2 linked regions of the Caenorhabditis elegans genome follow. The protein of the gene in region 2 interacts with the protein of the main gene of each other region in a pairwise test. Each region holds a gene or a part of one and is shown on either strand. Other genes may lie near its edges.

The links.
Region 1: the proteins of T19D12.6 (region 2) and zoo-1 interact in a two-hybrid assay, tested with the Caenorhabditis elegans proteins (one large-scale study listed by BioGRID).

Annotation. Positions count from the first base shown.
Region 1 is NC_003279.8:14,527,814-14,532,702, forward strand, and holds the start of zoo-1 (Tight junction protein ZO-1), read left to right. Parts: upstream 1-1,715; 5' UTR 1,716-1,718; coding exon 1,719-1,814; intron 1,815-3,118; exon of another isoform or gene 3,119-3,167; intron 3,168-4,163; coding exon 4,164-4,217; intron 4,218-4,889.
Region 2 is NC_003280.10:6,636,988-6,644,944, forward strand, and holds T19D12.6 (Laminin G domain-containing protein), read right to left. Parts: upstream 6,131-7,957; 5' UTR 6,114-6,130; coding exon 6,044-6,113; intron 5,119-6,043; coding exon 4,779-5,118; intron 4,733-4,778; coding exon 4,634-4,732; intron 4,454-4,633; coding exon 4,297-4,453; intron 4,248-4,296; coding exon 4,131-4,247; intron 4,043-4,130; coding exon 3,970-4,042; intron 3,925-3,969; coding exon 3,757-3,924; intron 3,162-3,756; coding exon 3,087-3,161; intron 2,505-3,086; exon of another isoform or gene 2,422-2,504; intron 2,070-2,421; coding exon 1,799-2,069; intron 1,756-1,798; coding exon 1,527-1,755; intron 1,478-1,526; coding exon 1,227-1,477; intron 1,180-1,226; coding exon 839-1,179; intron 776-838; exon of another isoform or gene 626-775; intron 476-625; coding exon 327-475; 3' UTR 86-326; downstream 1-85.

The sequences.
Region 1 (4,889 bases), on a different chromosome or scaffold from region 2:
GGCGTATTTGAAGCATATGTAGTTCAATGTATGTGTCTATTCAGAAAACGTACATGTCTTTTTCTAGTTAATTAACTGATTTAGTTGGTTGATCAATGCACCATGTCTAAAAACTGAATGGTTAGCTTCGTATCCCCCAATAATGTGTATAAGCCTCTAAACTACAACGGCAAGCTCAAAAATTACATTCTGCAAAAAAAAACTAATCAACTTTTTTCCAGTTTATGAGTTTTTGAGCTGAAGTGTTTTGTGCCAATCACCAAACAAGACTTGTCCATTTTTTGTTCTGAAATCGATGTTTTAGACTGTATTTCAAGCTTATATGATACACTGTCTTGGGAAAATAGGTTATTGAACCATCTGACTTTGGTTTGACAAAAGCATAAAAGTGACAAAGTCTAATACCTCACAGTTTTGAAACTTTCGTTCAAGACTGTAATAATTATTAATTAGAAATAGCTAACTAGAACCGATATACATAGGTACTTAATTCTATATATCTATATACCTATATAATTATATATATACCGAATTCTATAACACACCATGGAATTTTACCATATATTCCCTTTTTAGTACGTTTATATCTCGGTTGTCTTTGATCATATTTCAAAAATTCAAAATTCAAACGACACAATTTTTTTCAAATCTATCGTTATGCTTTGGTTTTTGAAGGTATCAAAAATATTTTTAAACCGTTGAAATATGAGCCGACAAAGTCGATTGACGGGGGGCCATACTAATAGGGAATGTACGGTATATATAATTTATGTACATATATGTATTATAACGTATGATAACATTCATACACTTCCTTTTTTTGACTAACTCAATTGCATGGAATTTGAATTTAAGACTACACACATTTTCCAAACAATTACTATTTTTCTTCTCTCATATCTCTAATTACTCCGATACTATTCAAAAATTCAATTCCCCATCCCCCCAGAAAACCCCAAAATTACTCCAAATTCCACGCATCCCAAATTCAATTTCCTTTACATGACCCCTTTTCCCCATTCTCCTACCCTTCTGCCTACCAATATGTCGTCAAATTCAATGTCTGCGTACCCGATATATGCGTATGTATTGAATGGAATAACACACCATTTGACGACATTTTCCCCGTTTAAACTAACAACTTTTCAAGGTTGTTTATTGGATTTTGCAGGGTTTTGTATGGGAAAAGTTCAGGATTTTCCTATAAAATCAATATTTCTTTGGAATTTATAATTGTTTAAGTACTGTGATAACTACTTAAATAGAACTTGTTTTATTTGAGTTTGTTAAAATTTAATTTGTTCATAATGTAACCGCTTTAAACGGGGCTTTTTTACTATTATTAAATTTAAAAGTTGACCTATTATAACTTTTTCTCAATAAGAAGTTTCAATTTTCATACTAATTACTACTTCTATACAGTTTTTTTCGATGTTACTTTAAAAAATTGAAAACTTGTCCTTATAAATTAGAATTTTCTGGTTATTCTTATTATTTCTGTTGAAATTGAACTTTAAAACGTTTTCAATTGTTCTTTGAGTTAAAATATTAATTTTTATAACAAAATTTAAAAAAAAAACCGCAGTCTTCAAAAAGCATAAGAAACAAACTGAACTTCATTGCTTTTTCCGCTTCTATTTGTATATACGATTAGCCTCTATTTACCCTGTGATTTTTGATTATTTTCTTTTTGTATATAACAACTTTTATATTCCAGAATGTCAGAGGACCCATCATGGTACAAGACCTCCATGTCAAGTACGTCTTCTTGTATTGAGGAGGAACATGAGCCTGTCGATCAGGATGAGGAAGAGGTTAGTATTTTTGTTTGTTTCTAAAAAAAAAATTAAAGCTTTATACCAAATTCTAACAATTTTTTTGTTGGATATAGCAATATAATGATGTTTTTCAAGTAGTGTCGGAAAATTAAAAAGTTTAGAAAATGAACGTTACCGCTGTAAGCATGTATTTTAATACTGTTGTGACGTCATAAATGTATTTAAATAAGGTAGCTGTTATACCGTCATCACGTACAATTTTAAGAATTTATTTGAGCTTTCACACTACAATATTTCGATACGTTTTCAAAATCAAAGCTATAACTAACTGTAACGCTATGTCCTTTGTTATACGTTACAACGTTTTATTACACACTATAATATAGATTTAGCCTGATTTCAAATGTTATAAATTATACGTTATCAACAAGATTAAAAGGTTAAGGTTATAGTATCATATATTAAAAAAACGTTAAAATTTTAATTGAACGATCATATTAAAACAACGTTTTTACATGTGTAACGAATTATAACGTTAGTTTTTAAAATAAAGGTTATAAAGTATCGTGTAATATTTTTAAAAAAAGTTAAAACGTAACGTTAAGTTAAGGCTATACATAGTATATTTTTCGTAATAAGGTATAACGTTTTAAAGGTGGGGATATTGTCTAAGTACACTTATTATGATCCAAAACGACCAAATATCATAATATAACACAATTTTAGATTTTTCATAATTTCCGGCCTAAGTTTTGGCATATTGCCAAAACTTTGAAAAATCAGAGCTTTTGAAAAAAAGTCCAAAGGTATGCCGCATGTTTCGACCCCTACAATGTTTTAATACGAATAATTAAAACAAGATTACAGAATTAAAAATGTAGAAAAACAATTTTTTTTTGGTCGACTTCCAAAATTATGAGTGGCAAAAACTCAGTAATTGTCACCACTTTTTGACAATAAATAAAAAATTTTCAAAAATTTTTTGAAAAGTTTTATTATGATATTAGATCATTTTGGGACTTTTGGTTTTTAACAACTTCCCCACTGGCACTACTCCACCTTTAAGATGTATGTTTTAACGGTATAACGTATAGGGTTAAAAGCAACTTTAAATTAAGGTTTTTACATAGTTGAACGATTTTGTCCATTTTTGTCGCGATGCTTGTTCCACTAGCAAAAACTGAACATGCTCACACTTTCTTTGAAAACCGCGAAAAATTAATGCCAAAAGATAGAAAACCATTCAAAACGCGTTTACTACCCCTGAAACAAAACGTCTAATAATATGAGAGTCAGGTCAAAAATAAAAGAGACACTTTTCTCATTCTCCTCCCATCCACTTTTTTCTCGTTTTTCAACATAGTGTAAATGAGAAATGTGTGTGTATGAAAAAGAAAAAGAGCCTCTTCTTCTTCTTCTTTCTTCTTCCACACAACTTCCCGAGGGACCCCCTTTTCCCAGTTTTAACCAGACATTGATATCATGCCCTTCTTAGAAGAGAGAGAGAGAGAGAAGACTCTTTTTGTTTCTATTCAACTCGTGTGTCGCTTATTTGACTTTTGATGTCTACTGGTAGCCTAGTTATGAGAAAAATTACAATAGATTTTAGAATTCTTAGGCTGTATGGGTACTGTAATTTATCACCTATAGGAAAAATTGATAGCATTACATATATGGTTTTAAATTACTCATAATTTGGGGTAGATCAAAAAAGAGAAACTTTTTAAATTGGTATCTAACAAATGCTATATCTATATAGTTGATTTATTATTTTCCAAGAAGTTATGAAAAATTAGTCTTTCACCATTTTTGATTCGGCAAAGTTTAGCGGTAATTTACATTCATGAACAACAGTTGCCAAAAATGTTTTTCTGCATCTTATAGTGAATTTTCATATTATTTTATAAGTTTCAGGAATAACAATTTAAAAATTTGTATGTATAGGCAAATACTGTTTGTGGTTTTAGTTTCACCGTTATAAAATAAGTAGTCGTTTTCTTAATATAAAAAATTGGATTTTTTAGGAAATTGATAATAATGGTACGGTTTCTATGTAGTAGCTGCGGTCCAAAACTTTTGACCAGTTTAAAAAGTTAAGCTTACAATTAGCAAATGCTTTTTCTATACTTTGGTTTAGTTGCAACATAATTAACAAAACTAACTGTTTTAAATCTAAAATTACGGCAATTTCTGTGCAGTTTTTCTAAAACCTAAAAATCACCTATTTTTGATTGTTTATAATTAAGTAGCAAGAAAGTGTCCTAGCCAAAAAATAGGAAATTTCTTGCTCTTTCAGACCAGTATACTAACGTCTCTGTACCTACGATATTCATTTCAAAAATCTTTTTCTAAAACCTAAAAATCACCTAATCACCTATATTCCAGATGTACAACCCGAGTGGATGCACGTGGCAACTTCTCTCCGTCTCCTTACACAGAGTATGTTTCTTTTTGTTTATATTTTAAACATTGTCTAATTCCTCCCTGACCATAAACAAAACCCGTTTCCCATTTTTTTTCTCCTACTCGGGTATAAATGATTTATCGTCCATGTATGCAAGGGACAATTGTGTATAGGTATAGGGGTATACATTCCGTTTAGGCAATCTGTATAGAAATTTCCAGGTAAACTCGTTACTTGATACAGGTCGAATGTCAATTACCTGTCAACCTATCTATTTAGCACAGTTACAAATATATGTACATAGAAGAACTATTTTCTGATAGTGAGTCGAAAATTTTGTTATTTATACCTTACTTGAATTATGTGTTGAGTTTCTAAAAAAAACTCCCCTAACTCGGTTAAATTTCGGATTTTCATAAAAATTATCTACTAAATTCTGAGCTTAATTAAAAATTTATTATAATTTCCTAAACTAGGGTGCCAAGCTGTCCTCAGCACACTCTTAACCATGCGAATCCAGTTTAGAAGCCTGCGTCTAAAATCCCGCAATTCTCGGAGATCAAACCGAAATGGGACATTGTGACACCACGGGACCTCTGAAATTGTAAATAAGTACCTTATAACCTAATTTATCATGTAATAACCTAGTTGATTTTAAGACTTACCTAGTATCTGTCCTAGTAGATCACTAAAACTGTAAAGGACTT
Region 2 (7,957 bases):
TGCATGAGACACAACTCACAACCTGAAGAGCTTTAATCTTAAATTTTGTTTTATTTTTTTGTTTTTCTTCTCTGTTGATACATAATCTGAACAATAAACATTTTATTACTGAAGTTGAAAACAAAAAATATTTTAATAGTTTTTTATTTCATTTTTAATCGTTCAAAACGTTGAAATGTAAAAGTAATATGGGTGATTGTAAGAAAAGGGACAACATGCTAAATACAGAACAAATAACTTATGCGTATACGGAACAACCGGCATAGTCATTCTTATTTCAACGGAAACAGCAAATTTTTATTTATATTCGACTACCAGTGAATTGATTAAATTGCACAGTCCTGGATATTGATGGCTGTTTTTGCTTGTTTTGGGTGAGAAATGGTTGTCTGATCGAATCGAAGCGAAATAATGCATCCATCAAGTCCCGTAAAGTCCCGACCATCTGGTGATCCGTCTGGTGTAAAATTGTTACCTGAAATTGAAACAATCGGGAACTCATTTGAACTGTTTGAAGGGAAATATTCAAGATGCCTTGAAGACACCGTTCTGTGCCTCATATCAATGACCAAATATCATAATTAAAAACTCCAACTATATTTAGATATTCTCATATTTTCAGTTTTGGTAAAAGGTCCGAAATTTCAAAAAATATGAACATTTTGTAAAACTTCGAGCACTTCTGCATGTTCCAACCATTCAAAAATCGCACATTTTTGAATATAAATAAAAATGTTTTTTTAATAAATGTTTTGCGATCAAATTTGCATCATGAAAGATTTTTAATTCCCTTTATTGTTGAAAAATATTGAAGCTTATTATTTGAAATACAACTTACCAATAAAAATATTTCGATACACATTCAATTGCTCAGCACCTTCTGGAGCAAATCCAGTAATTGGATCCTCTCCATTAACTGATAATTTCACCAAATTCCTTTTTCGAATCACTTCTACAGTAATCCATCTTTCATCTTCAATTCGTTTTGGGTGTGTTAATACAATTGTTCCTGAACCGAGATTTAATGCAAATCGGACAAATCGATTTGTGTCAATTGATAGTTCAAAGAAGTCATCTTCATGGGTAATATCACCAGCGGAAATTACAATCTGGCGAACAGTTTGCGTTGTGTTTTGGATTTTGAAGTTGACAGCCATATCGAGACTATCTCCAGTGATGCTGAAAGTAGAATGGTTTTCCGTTGTAATTTAAAATAAAGAACTTACTGGCTCATAACAGCTTCATTGTCAAGTTCCAAATAAGATAATCCAGAAAACTTCATTGCAGAAATTTCAGATTCCGAAGTCACTGAACATTTTCTTCCGCTCATTGGCCATTCACATTGACACACTGGCATTGAATTGTGTGCAAGACACTTGTTTGGACATCCGAACGTGGAGCAAGGATCTTGGAAACATTCAGTCACATTCGTGGCATATGTTGACTGCATCAATATGGCTTTTCCATTCAGACGGATCTAGAAAATGTATATGTAATTAAAACTGGTATTCTGTTTTAAAACCAACCCTCTTGACACATCCTGCAAATCCTTCAATATCCTTAACAACTGATGGAATATCATTATCATCAAGTGATCCAATAAATATATTTCCAGTTTCTTCAATAATTTCTAATTTTGAAGCATGCAATTCTGACTCCACCCATCCTTGTTTATTAACTTTTAGCAGAACCCCTTTTCCACTTCTCCAGACTTCCAATTTATGCCAGTGATACAAACTCACAGCGTTCTCTGATCTGAAAATTCCAATTATCAATGTTCTAACATTATTTCTGAAACCTCAAAATAGTTGCATCAACTCCAAGACTTGCATAAACTTTGATAAATGAATTCTCAACCGTGACAATCAAAAATTTGGAATCCTCTTTCCAAAAGAAAAGTACACCAGATGGTTTCTCAGTTTTAAATTGGATTGAGAGTTCCAAATAGCTGAGAATGCTATCAGGAGCCGGAACAATTACATTAGAATTTCCATTAAAATGTGCAACTTTCCAGGTTATGGAGCTTTTTGTCGACGTACTTGATGGAGCAGGTGTAGTTGTTACATGTTCTGAATAAAATATCTTAGTACGTAAAAAAGATAGAGGCAGATGGCACTAGAAATCAGAAGGTTGCGTCATGATTGAAAGTTCATTTAATTGATTAAAAAAACGTTAATATATGCCTTATCAATAAGTACGCTGTTAGGCACCATGAACGTTAAAATAAAATCCGAAAAAAGTTAAGCTAGAATATCTCTGCTCAATTCCAGGTGTATACTTTTTTTTAATTTATTTTTGGTGTGCTCATTCTAGGATCTTACTAATTAACATATGGGACCTCATATCCTAGTATTCATAAAACAATGCTCTCATATTTCTCATTCTCATTTTTTGTCATTATTCTTCTTGTTCTTCTCTTTCCAAAATGTGTCACTCATATCGCGGCGATGCGTGACATTTCGTGTTTGTTATGCATATTTCAAGAAGGTCTCCTCGCCTTTTTCTTCCAAAAAAATAAACGGGAAAAAGATTAGGCGCTTCATTTTTTTTTGGAAGAGAACAGGGCAGTCACTTTTAAGTTTTATGCAGCAAAAAGTCGTTTGGAGCCAAATGGAATGAGTGGCGTTAGGAAAAAAGACAATAACGAGAACGAGGGAGTGAAAAAGGCAATTCTGAGAAAAAGGTTAGAAAATTATGGGGCAAAGGAACTGAGAAAATGTGGCCCGGTTTCCGTCAAAATAGTAAAATAGTCTAGACAAATAAATTCATTTTTTGGAATAGCAGTATTACTTAACAATATAAAAAGGACCTTTTCAAATAATAATTTTTTTAACGGATAATATCTGGGATTTCTTTCATTTCAGGTAACCCGCGGCTCCTTGTTTTCAGAAATGCGCCGTCACGATAATTTTTGGTGCAGTTTCTTTAGAGAACCAAGCGTGACGTCAGAGACGTTGCCGGGAGTTTCAGAGGTCAAAAGAGACTTGCAAGTTGCTCTTTTTTTTTTTATAACAGTGTGAAGTAGGGCCATATTTTGAAATTTTTGAACTTTTCAGTTCATCGCAATGAATTTTGGAGAAACTAACCTTGCTGAACAATAATTTCTTTGAGAATAGGATGTCCCAATGGAAGACTCGTTGGGGATTGAGTTGACATATGCACTGTAATTGATGTCTTGTTATTCTTTACAATTTCAGATAACTGATCAGCGAGCATTTGCTCAATGAACATCCCATAGTAGTCGAATGGCATCGATATGCCTACACGCACCCCATATAACAAGAGTAGGCACGGTAGAATCATAATGAAGTGAGAAGGAATGAGCACAGCGAGGAACTTTCGTGTGCTCCTGCTCTGCTCACGCTCACAGCTTCAAAATGCCGCCGACGGCCCCGCCCATTTTGGATTTGAGCAGGCGGCATTAGAAGAAATTCGAAGAAAAAAGAAACGCACTTTTGAGTGTTTTGGTTTGGAATTTGGTTGCGGTGTTCCAAAAAAAAGTCAAAAATCTCTAGAGAAATGGTTTCCTAAACTCACACAACTTCCGCTAAAATCTTAAAAAGCTAACAAGTTACAGGAATAAACGAAATAATGTTTTCTTAAAAGCACGAACATTTCCAAGAAAAAGTGTGATTTTTCACTCAAACAATCTTTTGGTCTTACCACACGCGAAACTTTTCATCTAGCGCATTCACAACTTTCGATAATTTTTAAAAGAATTCGCAGTGGTGGATTTATTTCATAACGCTCACTTACTTCCCGGAGTCTCTAGGATTTTCGGAATTCCTCTTTGTGTGAGATCGAACATTTCAATTTGAATAATGTCATCACTTTCTTCATTATCGTTTTCCTTGTCTCCTGTCATCACTTTTATAATCTTCCTTTTCTTCTTCTCCAACTTTGGTTCCTCTTCTCCACAATAATCTATAATTTCAACGTTTTTAAATGAAAAATTTCAGATTTTTTTACAATTGACAGATGAATCTAAGGCTTTATTGATGGTTTCATTGGTGTTTAGAAGTACTTCTCCGTTGACGACAAGCTGTAAGAAAAACATTTATTGGATTGTCCACTTGCAAAACATTTCCGTCAAGATAAACGAATTTCTCTTGTTTTTCAAGCTTACGCACCAATCGAACACATCCTCGAAATCCTTCAAAAGCTCCTGTCTTTTGCTGGAGGAATTCAATGTTGTGGGGAGCAGCGCCAAGGAACACGCCTTCGTCCATTGTGATCCCTTTGTAATTCTGAATTCAAATATTGGGATTTTGTGAGGTTAAGAAGTTGAATACAAACCTTAAATTCATCAGCGTGATCAACTAATTTGTGACCACCATCAACAATTATTTCAGTCAAATCACAATTTTTCCTCCACACGTTGATCTCATGCCATTCTCCGATTGCGAATTTTCCATGATACATGTCTTCAATTGTACCTTCTCCACAGTCATGTCTGAATAAAATTTGAAATTAATTTCGTAAAGTTTTATCAAAGAGAAGATCTTTTATTTTTTTTCTTTTTCATAATACTGACAATAATTTCGCTAAAATTGTGAACTACATGTGCTTTCGATGTATTTTTTAAAACAATTTCTCTTTGTTATCAAGTTACTCAAATACCAAAAATACATACCTCATGATAACATTTGGTCCATCTAGAGTAATTGATAGGAAATCATCACCCATCAATTCTCCAGCAAAGAAAATAATTCCATCTTTATGCTCATCAAGTCTGAAATGCCAATCGTTTTTTGAAAAGTATTTATAAAAGCGCTTACTTGAATTGAATAGTGATATTTGTCTCTAAATATGTATCATCTTTGATTGCAAACTCTGCATAATTCGATCCTTTAAAAGCCAATGGTTTAGGTGAATTTGTGATCTTCTTCTTATTTTCAATGGTCAGTTTTCTGATAGGAAATGTGCTGGTTTCCAGCTTTCTCGTCCTTTTCTTTGTTATTTCCTTCTTCTCTTCAGAGTATTGTACATCTGTATCAACTCTACATGATAATCCATCATCCTGTAGTACGTGCCCTTCCCAACAAGAACATTCATATGTTTCTGGAGAGAGTGCTTCACACAGTTGCTCACAGAGCACGTGTTCTGCCGCGCATGACCCTAAAAAAAGTGATTGTGGTGACTGAGTGAGTCAGTTGTTCTTTGCTTTATTGTTCAGCCATAAAAAGTTAATGAGATGATCTTGAACTATCTTTTGGTTGTTCCACGTCATAAAAATTTAATGTATTTAGGCCTTGGTGAACATGCATTCAATTTTGTGCGGATTCTCTGATACCTGTTCCCCTTTCTCTGAATTCGTCCAGCTATCTAATAAGATATTAGTAGTTTCCATTTCTTATTCTCGCCAGATGACATTCTATGTTCAATAATTTGTTTGGCATGTAACCCACCACGAAAATTAATTAGATTCAAGTGTTGACTACGGCAACCCCCTACTGAGAAATGAGAGCAGAATGTACTCTTTTCTTGCAACAATAGGACATCCGTATTCGTTTTTTTGCACTTGTCGACGCAACATACAAAACAGAAAATTATTCCCCGAGTAATTTCTTTTGTGCTCTTTTCTCCAAGAAAGTATGAGCCTCAGGAACTTCTTTTTCGCAACAATTTTGCCGCCCTCAGATAATCCTCTTTTTGGTTGCGTAAATAGTATTCAAAAGTAGCGAGTAAGAAAGCAAGTAAATCTTCTAGCAAAACCCCTCGACACTCATCAATTTTCTGTGCGGGCGCCAAGTGTCACAACTATAATTTGGAAGAAAAGAAGTGATGGGAATCGCCTTCGTTCTGCTTCGTTACCGTACCCAATCAGCCACAGAACGGCTAAAATAATGTGATGATTAGAGGAGACATAGAGAAATAAACTAATTGAATCACAAGTTGAAAGTGAGAGGGATAATTGAAGATGAAGAGACGGCAAACAACGTGGGAACGTGAACGAGGCAAATGGAAACGAATTGCTCGCATTTTGAACAAGGAATTTCTAACACCCTAATGTGATATCTACCTCAAGACCCTCATTTGTTACCTTGAAAGACGTTTGTGCTCCCAGCAATGGTCACCAGACACAATGATAAAACGGCTTGTAACGGCCGCATGTCAGGACATGAAACACCTGAAATACTGAGAATGAATGGAAGCGTAAGGATGATGATGATTCGTGCGGCGACACGGTTGACAGACGAACGCATCATCAACATCAAGAAGGAGATGTTAGAGAGGAAAATTGAAGAGGAGGATGGGGGACATTCCGGACGATAATTATAGTATTTTGCACCGGAAATTGATGCGGCGAGCAAGATGCAGAGAGGCAAGATTTATTGAACTCTACGAAAAATAGGAAATTGATAATTTTATTAAAGACTGACCAGTAGCTGTCTAGAATATTTGACCACTGACAAAAAGAAAATTTAGAATTAAAAAACACATGTTTAAGCTTAATGCATAAAAATTGTAAAATGGAAAATCATAAATCTTCTATGCAGGCACAAATATTTTTGCCGACACCTACAAGGCGCTTTCAACTTGTCTTTAAAGTGACCTACGCCTAATTAAAATGTATTTCCATTTTTAAAATTTTTTAGTGCAAATACTTCAATTTAAAACACAAGTAAATAAATATCAACCAATAGTTTTTTTGAAAAGCAAAAAAAAAGACCTAAAATTTTGCCGCAAAAAATTGCAACCTGAAGCCGTTACATTGTTTTGTGTGTTGACTATGAGATCTGCGTTTGCTGAGGCTTTTGAAAAGTTATTTTTATCAGGTAGATTTTTTTTTGTAAAAACTTTTTTTTTGGAAAACGTATTTGCCTTGTAGGCATGCATTTTATGTGCCTGTTGAGGGTAATGAAAAACTGCAATCTAGCAGAAATTATTCCATCGCAGAACATTACCTAATTTGAAACATCGTTAAGTTGGATTGGAATTGGACTGTATTGCTTTGAACTCGTTTTTTTTGCAAAAATATCTGAACAGATGTTTCAATTCGCAACAAGTGGGAATTGTATTTTCAAAACCTTTTTCGAAAAAAAAAACCATTGGAAAGTCAACACTACAGTAGACGTTTTACAAGACAAATACCAAGAAAAAACATTTCGAAACATTTGAGGATATCGGATGAATGAGTCAGAGGGTAATAAAAGACGGAGGGAAACGATGGAAGAAAAAAGTTTTGAAACATTTTCAATTTTAGCAGAACGAGAGGAAATTGTTCTCATACATTTTTGCTCTATTTGTTTGAAGTGGGTGAAAAGAAAATGAATGAATGTAGAAAAATGAAGAAAAATAGAGATATTGAAGAAAAAACTGAAGTTTGAAGATAATTGTTTAAAAAAAAGAAGAAAAGAATATAAAATAAAAACGGACCTTTGAAATCTTAGTTGTAATGGTAGTTAGGCTTTCGAATGTCCGCAAGGATTGCATTAAAAAGTGGAAATAAATCGGAAAAGAAGATGGAAAAAGAGGTAAAATAAACGAGAATAGTCAAAACTATGTTCCTCCTCTCAATCCAACCGAGACTCCATAAACGGGTGAGTAGAGAGACTGAGGGGGGTCTCCCGCAATTAAAACACACGCAAACGGAAAATAAATGGAGGAATCAGAAGAAGAACAACAAGTTGGAAAAAATGAGGAAGAGAGAAGGAGGATGAAGAGACGACTAAACGTTTTTTGTGTTGATGATGTTAAAGTATATTGGAGAGGAAAAGGAAGATGTTAAAGAAGAGAAAAAAGTAGAAGAAGGAGAAGAAGAGTACTAAAATTACTGAGGTAAATGATGGAGCAGAGACAGGACGAGGCAGTGTGTTTTAAAGGCTGGATGCACAGAAGCAACGATGCGAATGTAATTCATCCTATGAAACACTGAATTATAAATAGAGATTTGAAGAGTGGACAACATGAAGTCTCATTTTTTGGTTCATCATAATTTTACCATTAGAAAAAA